Pelodiscus sinensis: one gene and its partner. The protein of the gene in region 1 purifies or fractionates together with the protein of each later gene. This does not show direct contact. Links are inferred from orthologs where the notes say so. Each region holds a gene or a part of one and is shown on either strand. Other genes may lie near its edges.

What was found.
Region 2: the proteins of TNKS2 (region 1) and E3 ubiquitin-protein ligase RNF146-B purify together in Homo sapiens (co-immunoprecipitation; 3 studies listed by BioGRID and IntAct, with this or other methods). This does not show direct contact. The link is inferred for Pelodiscus sinensis from reciprocal best matches to the Homo sapiens genes TNKS2 and RNF146.

What each region holds. Positions count from the first base shown.
Region 1 is NC_134718.1:40,945,586-40,953,532, reverse strand, and holds the start of TNKS2 (poly [ADP-ribose] polymerase tankyrase-2), read right to left. Parts: upstream 3,001-7,947; 5' UTR 2,834-3,000; coding exon 2,635-2,833; intron 1-2,634. UniProt on the Homo sapiens protein: Poly-ADP-ribosyltransferase involved in various processes such as Wnt signaling pathway, telomere length and vesicle trafficking.
Region 2 is NC_134713.1:90,563,814-90,571,345, forward strand, and holds the start of E3 ubiquitin-protein ligase RNF146-B, read left to right. Parts: upstream 1-4,452; 5' UTR 4,453-4,609; intron 4,610-4,665; exon of another isoform or gene 4,666-4,905; intron 4,906-5,270; exon of another isoform or gene 5,271-5,512; intron 5,513-6,916; exon of another isoform or gene 6,917-7,532. UniProt on the Homo sapiens protein: E3 ubiquitin-protein ligase that specifically binds poly-ADP-ribosylated (PARsylated) proteins and mediates their ubiquitination and subsequent degradation. May regulate many important biological processes, such as cell survival and DNA damage response.

The DNA of each region.
Region 1 (7,947 bases):
CCAGAGTTAGAAGACAAAGTATCACTTATTCACATAATGGAACAACAACAAAAAGTTTGCTACAACTGTACTCTTTTTTCATTTTCCATTCATAATAGAAAAGTTCCATCCAAGGGAAGGCAGATATATATCTTTTCAGGAGAGGCTAACAAGTCTTTGTGTCTGCCAGAAAGATCCTGAAGTTTTAGGAAGGGAGACATTAGTAACTGTATTCAGAAAGCAAAGGGAGGAATATGGAACCCACTACTGCCAATATCTTTGCTATGTAACTGCGCACACACCACCTCAAATACAGGCAGTCCCCGGGTTACGTACAAGATAGGGACTGTAGGTTTGTTCTTAAGTTGAATCTGTATGTAAGTCGGAACTGGCATCCAGATTCAGCCACTGCTGAAACTGACCGCCAGTTCTGACTTACATACAGATTCAACTTAAGAACCCCAAGCGTCCCCAAGTCAGCCGCTGCTGAAACTGACCAGCACTGACTACAGGAAGCCTGGGGCAGAGCAACTCTGCCTCGGGCTTCCTGTAGTCAGTGCTGGTCAGTTTCAGCAGCGGCTGAATCAGGATGCCTGGGGCAGAGCAGCTGGGGTGCTGCTGCGTTGGTCCAGTAGTGCCCAGAGCGGCGCTGCAGGACCAATCGGCAGCGCTCCAGCTGCTCTGCCCCAGGGTCCACAACAAAATCCTGGTCTGCTGGGGGGGGGGGGGCACACTAGCTGCGCCCCCCCCCCCCCCCCCAGCAGACCAGGGACACCGGGAGCAAAGCTGCAGCGGCAGCGGGGTGCCGCGCCTCTGAGGCTTTGCCCGAGCAAAGCCTCAGAGGCGCGGGACCCTGTCGCGGCTGCGGCTTCGCTCCCGGTGTCCCTGGTCTGCTGGAGACGGTCCCCAGCAGACCAGAGACACCGAGAGCGAAGCCGCAGCAGCGTCAGGGTCCCGCGCCTCTGAGGCTTTGCTCGGGCAAAGCCTCAGAGGCGCGGCACCCCGCTGCCGCTGCAGCTTTGCTCCCCATGTCCCTGGTCTGCTGGGGGGGGGGGCGCAGCTAGTGTGCCCCCCCCCCCCAGCAGACCAGGCTTTTGTTGTGGACCCTGGGGCCGCTGCTGTGGCTTCTCTCCCGGTGCCCCTGGTCTGCTGGAGACAGTCTCCAGCAGACCAGGGGCACCGGGAGCAGCTTTTCTCGCCCCGGAGGTCGAGGTGGCGGATCGCTGCCGGCGAGCTCCGGGGCGAGAAAGCCCGGTTCGTAAGTGCGGATCCGACATAAGTCGGATCCACGTAAGTCGGGGACTGCCTGTATGTCTGTTTCTATTTGGAATTCAATCCTATAGAAGTAGTGTGATTTTTTTTGAAGGTTATTCAGACCTTGAAAGTTCTATTGTGCAATACTGAAAAAGGTTATTCTTATGAAGGCACTTAGAGGGACTATACTGCAAGTGTCCCTTCAATAATTAAAATAGAAAAGTCTCTTTCAAGCTTGTAGTAGAAACAACTTGACAGGCTAACAAAGGAATTTGACTTTGTCAATCAATTGTAGGTGCAAGATCTTATTGAGGAAAAAAGTCACTGAAAGTAGTGAATTTGGTCGTTAGGTTTTGAAAGCATCAGGAGTTCCATAGCCTATTAAAGTTGTCTCATGCGTTCATAAGCTTCACTTTAACAGATAAACTGTTTCACAGGTCCATTGGAACCAAGCTATCCTGCAAGAGAATTTCAGAAAACTATGGCTAACCCCACAAAGGCTTATGAATATGAGAAGAAATGCCTTCAGCAGGCATCTATTAACCATGCAGCTTGCGAGCGGGGCTCGCTGCCACTTGTCAAGCCCTGTCAATGGATAACCTGAACCAAAAGTGGAACAGCAAGGCTATATATCCACAATGACCTACGTTAAGCAAACAATGGGCTATTACATTTTGTACCATGTCCAGAATGAGCATATATCTCTAAAAATGAGTTGTCATGTGCAAGCAAAGAGTCAACACAAGTATATGGACAGCTCACCTATAGCCAGGTCTGCTCCTGAAGAGATACAAGAGGATCAACTGTCAAATTTCAGTAACTACTTTAAAATCAACATGAGATAAGGTAATTCTTCCCTTAACTCTCAGTCTCGACACTTACATACCCTACTCAATATAGTACATAAAGTCTCTCCTCACATTTTTGTAAACAGTGACTTCAGTTTTACACGAAGGGAACCAGCACGACTCGAGATTCAAAGGACTTGTCAAAGATCACAGGACGTCTGGGAAACACAGCCTAGACCTGAACCCAAATCTCCAGTCCTGGCCCAGCACCTTATTCAGAGGTTATTCCACCTAATCAGCGGCCGTATCCTCCCTTCAACTCACAACCCCCAAACGGTGTTCGGCGCCCGGCAAGCAGGGCGGATCGCCAGGCTGGCGAGGGCACAAGTGAAGGGGGACAGGGCAGAAACCCCCAAGGCCCGTCACTAGAGCGCAGACACGGCCCCTCCAGTGGAGACAGGCTGTGCGGAACCAGGAGCCCGTACGGCCGGCCACTGGCAGCTAGCGAAGCCCCGCCACACGAAGGGGGCCAAGGGCGGGATCCTCGGGGCAGCCGGAGCGCGCTCGCTCCCACGCAGGCCCGGGCCCACCAGAGCAGCCGTGAGCTCGGTACCTGCGGCGAAGTGCAAGGGGCTGGACTTCCTGCCCGCCGTGTCCCTGCTGTTCACGTTCTCGGGCCGCACCAGCCGCTTGACTCGCTCCACGTCCCCGTTCCTGCAGGCCTCGAACAGCTCCCGGGCCGGCTCCGCCGCGGGCCCGCAGCCCGGCGCCTCCAAGGGGCCGGCCGCGCCCATGCCGCGCCGCCCGGCCATAGCGCTCCCCTCCCCAGCCGCTGCAGCGCTTCGGGGATCACAGGCGGCCCCCCGCCATGGCCCCGGCTCCCAACACGCTCGGCTAGAGACGGAAGCAGCGGCCACTCTCCCCCACCCCCAGCTGCTAGGCACGGCGCGCCGTACGGCCGCCGCCGGGGAGCGCCTGATTGTGCGGCATGCAGAGCATGCGCAGTAAGGACAAGCGCCGCCATTGGACCATGCACAGAGAACGCGTGTTGCTCTGTGCGCCTGCGCGAGGCGATAATTTCTCTCCCCCCCCCCCTCCGCGCGTGCGTAGTGGGAGTGGCGATAGGCTGGGCTGGTTGAACTTGCGTGAGAGAGCCCAGTGGTGGTGGGGGGGGGATCTCGCTCCTGAAGACAGGGCGATGCAGCGCCTCCTGCTGTGCTGGGCTCGCGGCTCAGGAGATCTGCCCGCTGCCTCCACGCAGCCTGGAGCTTCCCCAGGCGAGAGTCAGCGGTTGTGTGTTGGGGGGGGCGGCGGCGGATACAGCTGCGCCATTACGTAGAGTTACCAGATGATTTCAAAAAAATACCAGACACCGTTGATCTCAGATGGGGGGTGGGACTGGCCAGGAGCGAGGCTGGGGGGACTGCCGGTGGGGAGCTGGGCTGGCTGTGAGGGGTGGGGGGACTGGCCAGTGGGGAGTGGGGCTGGCCCAGGTGCTCTCAGATCCTGGGGTGCTGCCCATCCAGTGCACGGTCCGGCAGGGCGCACTGTCAAGTCCGGTCTGGGATTCTATCCCACCCCCACCCTCCTCTTCTCGACTGTGTAGTTGTGTACTGCCTGGCTGGTAGACATGCTTACACAGCCTGAGCGTGTCTACCGTCCAGGCAGTATGCAACTACATACTGATATTTTTATTTTAATAATAAAACTTACTTAATTAGAAAATACCAGACATTTATATGTCCAGTATTTTCTCAATTTGTTTCCTGTGCTGAAAGCTCAAATACCAGACTGTCTGGTTCAAAACCTGGCAACCCTACCATTGCATTGAGCTCAGTGTAACTTAGCTCAGTTGGTGGGATGGTGTGGGTGCCCCAAGAAATGCAGAGGAGAGCCCCGGGACCAGCTGGGAGTGTCCAGCTGGCCCTGGGCTCCTAGAAGCATGCATCATAGCATGGAGCCCAGGATCAGGGGGAGCGGGGCTCTGAGTCCCCCGCTGATCCCAATTAACTGCATTTTTAACCTCCCTAATTTGTACCCTGCCCTACAGATGTGGCTGGGTATCAGCTGTGATGAGTGAAGTGGAAGTCAGGGTTCTAGTTACATTTTTCCTGGCTAAATCCCTGCATCATCTTTGCTCTTAAATCCCACAGAGTCCCTTGTGAGTCTGTTCACAAAGCACCAAGGCATGTATGGTCAGAAGTATGCCAGGTTTATAATTTGTATGTGAATGCTGCCCATAGTTTTCTGGTAAGTCCAAAGAGGCCATATGGATAAAAGTAATCACACTACTTTGCAATGCAAAGTGACTAAGTCAGTTGGCAAAATGGATGGTGAGGAGACAGGTAAGAAGAAGAGCCAAACTCAAGGGCTTGTGGCTCTAAGGCAGTAGCTGATCTAGACTTGCCTTCATTGCTAAGGTCATTCTTATGCCTGTACTTGGGAGTATCCTTGGAGAATTTCTGTGGCAAACTAGTGCCTTCACTGTTTACCTGGGACATTAGTGTCAAGTGACAAGCCCTCTATGGACAGGTCAGTTCATCAGTCTGTCTTTGAGCTCCTCCTAAACAATTGTGAGCTAAAAAGTTTCAGGGGGGTAGCCATGGTATTCTGTAACTTTTTAAAAATAACAAGCAGTCCTGTGACATCTTAGTCCTGGCCTAACTCCCCTTATTTCAAAATAACAAGCAGAGCATCCACACTACCAAGCCCATTATTTCAAAGTAATGGGCTGGTTATTTCAAAATAACTCCTGCTTTCCTCAGGGAATAACACTTATTTTGAAATAGTTATTTCAAAATAGTGTTAGTGTGAACACTTCACTGCTATTTTGAAATGACCACTCCCCCAAGTAATTCAAAGTAATTACTCCCCAGTGCTTCCTGGGACTCTTAAGTTGAGGTAGCGCATTCACAATAAAGGAGCCTGCCTCAGACTAATTTTGCAGCTTCCCCAAACTCAGGCCATGCTATTTCGATTTTGTTAATTTGGGATTTATTTCAAATATAGTTATTTCAAAATAATTTCCTAGTGTAGACCTGTCCCTAGAGCCTAACAATTATATTAGGTCATAGGATTTTGTGGGTAAAATGCACTTCATTAGATGAGTTGGAATGGAAATTACAGAATCCAGCAAAAACAGTTACTTGTCAATTATAGAACTAGTGTTAATTAAGCCAAATAAATAAGGCTCTATTTATCCGATTCATAGCATTTGATGTGGGAATGAGAATATCAAAAGGTGGGGGAAATTGCCTTTGTAGTGCATTAACTAGTATATTTATTCAAGCCCAAAGTTCATAGTGTCGACATGTTCTCTCTTTCAGGAATGAGACTTTGCTTTCTTGAAGAATAAGTTTTATTAAACCAAACTCTCACCTTTGTTGAAATTTAAGCGGGAAATTCAGGCCAGATTTTCTACATGCACACTCTGCAGTCTCCCATTCTCTTGACATTTTAGGGTAAAAAGAATCAGAGTAATTTTAATAATCAGATCTGGTTTTGGAGAACTTATATCTTTAGGACACTTGTCAGATTGTTCTGATTTTCCCATCAGATATTCTATGCATATCCTTTAAGTAGTCTACCAGTTTCCATTGCAATCTTCATAGGTGTGTGGATTGCACAGCGTTTTGTAAAGGTGACTCTTAAAATAGGGATGTTAAAATGTGTGTAACTGATTAACCAAGTAACTGCTGATTTCAGCAGTTACATGGAGGGGAGGGCAGCCAGCTCCCTAGGAACTGGCATGTGCCGAGACCCAGCTTTTAAGTTGGCTCCCCACATGTACTGGCTTCCACCTGCTGTCCCATGCTGCTGCCTCTGTATCCTGAGAACCAGACCAGGAACTGGGTGTAGCCATTTGGGTAACTAATAAGCTCATGCTTATTGTTACACATTTACACAGCTACATTCTTACATCTGTATTCTTAAATAGAAAGTTTGCAGGTGTTTTAACTATAGGACACTTATGAGCCCCCTGTAATTTAGGCATCCAGGTCACTTGATTTTTAAAAGTGCCAAGCTTCCAGCAGCTCCCACTGAAGTCTAGAGAAAGTGAAAGACGCTATGTCTACACTGCAGTGCTATTTCAGGATACCGGAGGTATTCTGCGGCTTTTGAGTGAACCCGTTATTTTGAAATCTAACAGGCTCGCTATTCCAACATCCCTGTAAACCTCATTCCATGAGGAGTAAGAGACATTTTGGAATAGTGATTTATTTTGAAAAGTACTGTGTAAACTGCCAAATTTCAAAATAAGTGATTTCAAAATTGACTTGAAATAAGCGATGCAATTTGCAAAGCTCAAATTGCGTGGCTTATTTCAAGCTTCAGGTGCAATGTAGACACAGACACAGACAGACACATGAAAAGGACAAATCACATTTCAGAACAGGAGGGGAATGCTGGGGGAGGAGGGGGGGGAGAGGAAGGAAGGTAAGTGTCTGTGAATTGATGATACTAGAGGTGGGGAGAGTGGGATGTTTGTGAGTTAATGGTATTAGAGGTGATAATTGGGGAAGCTATCTTGATAATGGGTAAGATTGTTTGAGTGTTCTGAGTGTTAGCATACTGTGGGGCCATTGCGATTACAAGCAATTAGAAACACTATCCCAGAGGACACTACTGCCAACCTGATAGCAGACCTATGTAACTTTGTTCTCACCCACAATTATTTCCAGTTTGAGAACAACTTATACCTCCAGATCAGCGGCACAGCCATGGGTACACGCATGGCCCCACAGTATGCTAACATCTTTATGGCTGACCTAGAACAACGTTTCCTCAACTCCCGTCCCCTTTCACCCCTTCTCTACCTATGGTACATCGACGATGTCTTTATGATCTGGACGCATAGCCAAGAAACACTGGAGATATTCCACAGAGATTTCAACAACCTACACCCCACCATCAACCTCAGCCTGGACCATTCTACATGAGAGATCCACTTCCTGGACACCACAGTACAAATCAACAATGGAAAATTAGACACCACTCTCTACAGAAAACCCACCGACTCATACAGTTACCTACATGCTTCCAGCTCCCATCCAGAACACACCACACGATCCATCGTCTATAACCAAGGCCTTCGATACAACCGCATCTGCTCTAATCCCACTGATAGAGACTAGAAGCTTCAGGATCTCTACCAAGCATTTATAAACCTCAACTACCCACCCAGAGAAATAAAAAAGCAAATTGAAAGAACCAGACGAATACCTAGAAACCATCTACTTCAAGACAGACCCAAGAAAACCAACAATAGAACACCACTTGTCATCACCTACAACCCCCAACTTAAACCTGTCCAACACATTATCAATAAACTACAGCCTATACTGGAACAGGATACTATACTGGAACAGGATACCATACTCCAAGAAGCTCTGGGAGACAGACCCATAGTCTCCTATAGACAACCACCTAACCTCAAGATGATTCTTACCAACAACCACAGGACATACCACACTAATACCAACCCTGGTACCTTCTCTTGTAACAAACCCCGTTGCCAGCTTTGTCCACATATTCATTCTGTTGATACCATTATTAGACCTAACCAAGTGAGTTATAAGATCAAGAACACACATTCCTGCGCATCCAGAAATATAATCTATGCTATCATGTGCCGAAAGTGTCCGTCTGCTATGTACATTGGAGAAACGTCTCAGACACTTCGCCAAAGGATTAATGCCCACAAAACAGATATCAGACAAGATCACAAAGAAAAAACAGTTTCTTGCCATTTTAACCAGAAAGGACACTCTCTCGATGACTTAACCACCTGCATTCTGCTACAAAGACCTTTTACATCTGCACTTGAAAGGGAATCCTCTGAACTGTCATTCATGTTAAAATTCGACACCCTCCAAAAAGGAATGAACAAACACTCAAACTATCTTACCCATTACCAAGATAGCTT
Region 2 (7,532 bases), on another chromosome or scaffold:
TACTGTCCTTCAATGATCAATCTGGTGGGCTTTTAGTTTTCAGTATACTATACTCCTTAATAGTCTGGTGGTAAACTTCAGACAGATAAATTCCTGATTGATTGATTGATTGATTTAATGTGTAGGAGATTCAATACTTGGAAGAATATTAAAAACCCGAGAGAATAAATTAGAATTTCAAAACAAGCTGAGAGAGACATATAAATGGTGGTGATTTCATATAGGGTAGATAGATAGATAAACAAATAGAGTTGGAAAAAAATTATAATCAGAATAGATATACAATGGGAGACTTCTATTCAGAAGTAATAATAAAAAAGACATGCAAGATGTAATGAAATGTTAACACAATCTAAGCTTATTGGCAAAGGAAGATGCTATTTGAGAATCTATAATCTATGGTCCGGGAGTGAACATCATATTGGCACACTGAAGGATTGGTATCTAAATGAAACAGTGCCATTTTACACATCCTCAATCAGTTTCCAGCTGAGAAGGAACACATGGATTTTAATACAATTTTGTTGGTAAAAGCATAATATGTCTGATTTTTAACTTACATTTAACTTCTTACAGTTTTGTTCACATTCACAATGTGTAAATAAACCAATTTTTGAAGTATATAAGATTTAATGTGAGTTAAAATTTATAAACAAAAAACAAAACCCTCAACAGTTAGGTTGTTGGTGTGTAGAGCCCCCTGCCGTTCATGCTAACCAATATTGTAGCATTGTCTTAAGCAACTGGTAAAAATATTCTCCTTGGGAGCTGAGTAATACCATTAGGCTCTGATTTCTGGAGGGTTGCTGTTTCTAACCCAGCAAAATGTGGAGGGACTGCTCGGAAGGGGAGGTGGACAGTTGGGGAATGAGGCTGCCCACACACACCCTGAAGAGGCAGCTTCAGTTGTCCTAGGATGGGCCTGGCTCTCTGTTCCAGTCTATAGGCTCTTGCCACTTGTGTATTTCCACTGGAGCCGGCTCCTCTAATAAGGGGGGCAAATCATCAAAGCACCTCAAGAAGACAAGGAAGAGGGAGAGAAAAGGGAGAAAGTCACCAGCCTCACAGCAGCAACTGGGGGCATTGGGTCAGATCTTTAGCACAAATGGTGGTTGAAAGCAGGAATGAGAACTTGGGGAGGGGAGCAGTGCAAAGGGCAAGGGTGAAAAGTAAGCTGAGAGGGAGATCATGTGGAAATTGGAGGAATAGGAGAAGTTTTAAAAAGTGGATTTATTGGGGGATGGGGTTTGGAGGGATGGTAAGCTGTGGCAGGAGATGATTTGAGGACATGAAGGGGGGGGGCTTTAGGGAGTTGAGAAAGGGTTTCATCAGGGTGTTCAGCTTCAGCCAAAGGTAAGTTTATTTGGGGATATGGGAGTTGGCATGGCAGGGAGTTGAAGGCTGTGGCAGGAGGAGGTATGTACAGGTATATTTACTTGGGGGCAGAGTAATATGGATGGATTTAAGTGGTAGTTGGGGAGCTAGGTGGGGCATTATTTGCAAGTTGGGTGGGAGGCTGTTGGGGAGAGGTTAAGGGGAAGTGTGGGAGAGAAGTTATTTGGGATCTATGTTAGAAGCAGGTTTGGATGAGGGGGTCTGGAGCTATGAAGAAGGAAGTTTGTGACAGTGTTGGTGGCCACTGGCTGTATCTGGTGACTCTTCTTTGTGGCCCATGCTCTCTCTTATCTTTTGCTTGTCTGCCTTCCTCCCTTACTGACTCCAGCTGTGAGCACCAGGTAGGGATGGACTTGCCACTATACTAGGATTGGGACTTGCTTGCTGGGCACTGACCACACTCAGGATGGATTCTATCTGCAGTACCATGACAAGGTGTCATGGATTCACCTCACCATTGGGCTCCAGGGACTTTCTCTGCTTGTCCTGCTGCTGCATAGCCAAGCAACTCAGCACCAACCTGGCCTTAGCATTACCAGAGATGGGCTTTTTGCTGTGGAGCTGGGCTGCGCATTGTTTGCTTGTCCTCCCCCATAAATATGTCTGTTCTATATGTTGTCTCCTCTTAGACAGTAAGATATTTGGAGCAGGGTCTATCTACTGTACAGGCCTAGCACTATAAAGTATTAATCCAGATCCGTGGTGCTGTCACAATAAAGAGAATAGAAATAAATAGTACGCCAACAACAAAAAAGGATAGCCTCAAAGGTGTATGAAACTGCTCTTTGTGGTATTGTATAAGACCTATTTTACATCTTGTACACAATAAATAAAATTTTCTATTAGGAAAGTTTGTTGATTCACTAGAATAAATCACCTTTCCATTCTCCTTTTCATATCTGACAATATATGGACCTCAACACTTTTATTTCCAGGCCAAGGCTACAGTGTATTATTCTAGGTATCTAGTTTTGATATAGTCTGATATAGCATATAATCTAAGCACAGGAATGCTTGTTTTATAGTGAGGGTTGAGATATAGTTTACATCTCACAGTGAGTCTTAAGGGGAGACCCAGCACCGGCATTAACTGTTATGGCTCCTCCACAGATGCAATGGGACCAGAACTCATTTCCTTCTGTTGCAAAAATAGCACGTTCCTTTTGTAATCTGCACTGCAGGACAGTAGAGTATGACTCATGGCAGGATGCTCGGCCATGGCAGAAGCAGCTAATACAAACACACACACGTTTGTCAAAACTTAAAAAACAAATTATCCTACAGCCAGTTCAGCGGCGTTATGATACAATACTGCCAACAAGTGTGCAAAAATCATGAGCCACACACCCCAGCAATCTTGGCTATGATTTAAAAATAATTAAAAAAAACCAATACATTTTAGTACTTTTTATTTAGTTGTGGGGCCATTAGTGTGCTGTCATGCTGTGTTTTGAAGCTATTCTTTGCAACTATAATGGCTAAAAATTACCTTTTTAATGGAAGTTGAGATTATCACATAATCACTTCAGTCAGGGAACTGGGGCTTTATGAAAGCCAGCAAATACTGTGACACTCACAATCAAATTGTGTTAGGATGCACAGCAGGGCTCAACCCATGTTAGTTAAAGCACTGCTGATTTTCATTGTGCAGTATAATCGTTAATGAGTGTGGTGACACCTACAACACTAACAATTTCAGGCATGTATAAAAAGGGTAGAGAGAAGGTACAGTAAGTTTACCCTGGATGTTGCACTGGTGAGAACATAAGAATGGTTATACTGGATCAGACTAGCTACTCATCTAGCCCCAGTATCCTAGCTTCTAACAGTGGCCAATGCCAGGTTCCCCGAAAGAATGAACCAGTAATCGTCAGGGCTGTGTCTACATTGGCAAGATTTTGCACAAAAGCGGTTGCTTTTACATAAAATCTTGCCACCTGTCTACATTGGCCGCGAGTACTTGCGCAAGAACACTAACGTTCTAATGTATGAAATCAGTGCTTCTTGCGCAACTACTCTTGACGCTCCCGCTCAGGGTTCAGGCAACGTTAATTACTTGTGCAAGAAAGCCCGATGGCTAAAATGGCCAGCAGAGCTTTCTCATGCGAGAGCATCTACACTGGCACAGATGCTTTTGCACAAAGGCACGTGCCAGTGTAGACGCTCTCTTGCGCAAATACTTTACGCAAAAACTTGTGTTAAAAGTATTTGCGCAAACTCCTGCCAGTGTAGACGTAGCCCAAGTGATCCATCCCGTCACACATTCCCAGCTTCTGACAAACAGAAGCTAGTGACAACATCCCTGCCCATCCTGTTTTTTAGCCATTGATGTACCTATCCTCCATGAACCACTACTCTTTTTTGAGGCCTGAAATAGTCTTGGGCTTCACAACATCCTGTAGCAAGGAGTTCCACAGGTGGACTGTGTGTCGTGTAAAAAAAAAATACTTTCTTTTGTTTTAAACTTACTGCCTGCTAATTTAAGACCCATACTGGAACACTGTGTACAATTATGGTGTCCCCCTTTTAAAAAGGAAAAGATTGGAGAGGTGCGCAGAAGAGCCACTAAACAATCTGAGGGCCAGGAAAATCAATGTCTTACAGTGAGACGCCTAAAGAGCTCAATGCTGGGTCAGACCAAAAGGTTCTGGCCTAAAGAGATTAATGTTGGGTCAGCCCGAAAGGGCTCAATGGATTTTAGCCCATCACAAAGACCAGGGTGCACCATAAAATCCCAGCTCCGATCCAAAGAGACGCTCTAGTGCAGCGGCAGGAGCCAGGCGCAGGCAAAAGGAGGGCTCTTTTTTCACAGGGCGGGTGGGGGGCGAGTCACCACTGACGGGAGGTAGGTGCAGCGGCGTCTCCGCCTCGTGCTGCTCAGCGGGAAGATTTGCTTTCGCCAAACGCGGGCGCTGGCTGCAGGGCTGAGGTCGCCGCCCGCGAGGCCCAGCCTGAGCCCCCCCGCTTGACGGCTGGAGAAAGCGAGGGGGGGGGGTGTCGAGTTACCGCCGCTGCAAACCACGCGGGGGCGCTGGGTTTCCGCGGCGCAGGAGCAGCCGGGTCTAGGCTGCGGGGGCGGCCGCTAACGCACGTAACGGCCGCCCCGCAGCAGCCCCCCCCCCAAGCCCTGTGGGCGTTCAGCGGCCGCACAACAGCCGCGGGTGCCTAAGCAACAAGGAGCGCGCGAGTGAACACGCGCCGCAGGAAGGCGGCTGTGAGTATTATGGGCTGGAGAGGAGGTCTCCGCAGACAGGCACCGCGGAAGGAGGGAGGAGCTATTTGGGCGCGCGCCAGTAGCGTCTCGGTATCGACACCCCCTCTCGGGCTTCCCCCGTGGGAGAGTGTCTGACCGCTCCGTTTTGCCCCTCCCTCCACTCTCGTTCCCCCGCCCCTCTGCGCCCTGACGTCGTCGCGTCTCGCTCTCGCGACAGCAGGTGACGGCGGCTGGGGCGGCGGTTCGCTCGCTAGCCCAGCGGCGAAGACACGGAGCAGCGCGAGCCGGGCCCGCGGGTGAGTCCGTGACGCCGCCGCGTTCTAGAGCTCGCCGCTGGGAAGCCAGGGGCTTACGCGCGCGGGGAGGTTCCGCTCATTCTCCCCGCGGCTCCCGCTGGGGCCTGCCCGCCTCGGGGCTGGAGCGGAGGCCGGACTCGCTGTGCGAGGCTCCGGACAAAAGGCCACAGCGCCCCCCCCCCCCCCCCCCCCCCCGGGGCGGTAGCTGCCTGTGGAGTCCCGCCCATCGGGCCAGGGCCCGGAGCCCCCGGCGGAGTGGGGCTGTGTTGTGTGGCAGCTGCGTAACCCCCGGTTACATGACATCGGCTGCCCCTCCCCCCCCCCCCCCCCCCCCCGGCTGGGACTGTGCTTATTTATTCCTTCCCCCGAGCTCAGCCCGCGATAGGGACCAGCCTGACCCGCTGGGGAGGGGCAGCGCCTCGGATCGGGGAAACTTGGCCCGGCTCAACATTTTTGTTTTCTTAAAAATAAACCGGCAAACTTAGCAGATTTGTAACTCATCCAAAGGGTTGGATCGCGCTCGGGGGTGTCCCTTGGGAGGTCGGCAGCCCAAAGTGGGCTGTGATGAAAATAGGCTTCGTAGCGTTTTTGTATGGTTTGCCCAGAGGTCTGTTGCTATGCATATTTTTTATTGACTTAAATGTTCACGGTTGTGGGAAATAATTGATTGTTTGGCCACCTCTTATTGACAGTGGATGTTGTGATTCAAGAAGGTGAAACACAAATTGTCAGCATCACATATCAAAACATACAAACTACCTGTCTTCCAGTCAAGCTTTAATAAGCAGTATTTTTCTTCTGTCTTCATGTAAATTTTCATTTTCATTGATGGACATATTTTTTCTTGGGTTTAGGTGTAAATGAAATTGATGTTTACCAACATTTACTAATATACATATTATATTTCTAAGCTTAAGTATAAGTAATATCAAATATTTGACATTTTATATGAAGTCTTACATTCAAATTTCTTTTAATACCTTCACACATGGTTGTTTTGTTTGACTATTTTGTTCGACATATTTGTAGTGTTTTCCACAGTTTCTTCTGTTGTTGGATATTTTGAAGAGTTATTGGAGATATATTTGCATGTCAATTCTTAGTTAAGGATGTAACAGTATAACTGTTTATTAACTGATAAATATGAGCTTATTGTTACCGTAACAGTTACATGCCAGCTCCCAGCCCCGCTGCCACCGTGTGTTGCTCGTTCAGAGCCTGCAGCGCAGGGTGGCAGCTGGCTTCCTGGGAGTGGGGCCGGGATGTGCTCAGGAGCCACTGTGCTCGGGAACCGCCTTTTAAGAGCACACTGGGAGCCAGCAGTGCATGGTGACAGCCAGCTCCACAGGAGCTGGCATGTAACTGTTACAGTAACAATAAGCTCATGCTTATCAAATACCTGTTTAAACAATTATATTGCACATCCCTAATTTTAATGTTTTAAATGTACAGTATTTTGTATACCCTGTTATCAAATGGTAAATTACATCAGAAATGTTTAAGGTACTTGAGGTCTAAAAAAGTGCTCACACTTTTAGTGATTTTTTTTGGGGGGGAAGGGGAGAGAGGAGGTGGAGGTAACTGACAGTTGGGCCCTTGGATTTCCTTGCAACACTTTGTGGCTACGTCTACACTGGCCACAATTTCCGGAAAAGCCACGCAAATCAGGTAAGTCAGGATAGGGAAATCCGCAGGGGATTTAAATAAACATGTCCGCTGCTTTTTTTCCGGCTTGGGGAAAAGCCGGAAAAAAAGCGTCTAGACTGGCGCGATCCTCCGGAATAAAGCCCTTTTCCGGTGGATCTCTTATTCCTACTTCGAAGTAGGAATAAGAGATCCACCGGAAAAGGGCTTTATTCCGGAGGATCGCGCCAGTCTAGATGCTTTTTTTCCGGCTTTTCCCCAAGCCGGAAAAAAAGCGGCGGACATGTTTATTTAAATCCGCGGGGGATATTTAAATCCCCCGCGGATTTCCCTATCCTGACTTACCTGATTTGCGTGGCTTTTCCGGAAATTGTGGCCAGTGTAGACGTAGCCTGTGTGTTTAAATGGAAGGTGAAGATAGACCAGTGGCCCAGTTTTCTGGTACAATGAATAGATAAATAGCCTTTCCACTGAAATTAATAGACTACTAGGGCTATCGGGTAAATATAATTTTAATCTTAAAAGCAACCTATATTTGTATGATCCAAGAAATTGAAAGCCTGTAGCTCACAATAAAGAGAATTAAATGTGTTAACTCTTTTACTGAATTGTATGATAATTGTCTTATCCTGTAGACTGTAAATTGTAGTTTATTTTATTTACTTGTCTGGTAGAGTACATTCCAGAATATGTAGTAATTGTTAGAAGGAATAAGATACAGAACTTATTTTTGTGCTTCTCAAATTTGATATCTTAAAGGAAATACTGTAGTTTGAAAATGCACACTGAGGCAGCAGTAAAGTGTTGATAGTTGACTGTTTAAAACTAGTCTTTGGAACTACTCTTTAAAATGGATTATTGAGATGGAGCATTTGTCAGATAGTATTGAATTAACAGTGAAACCTGAATATTCATTTAGTCAAAATGATAGTAAATCTGACTTTATGTACAACTTTTGGAGCAATTTAACCTACAGTTTGTTG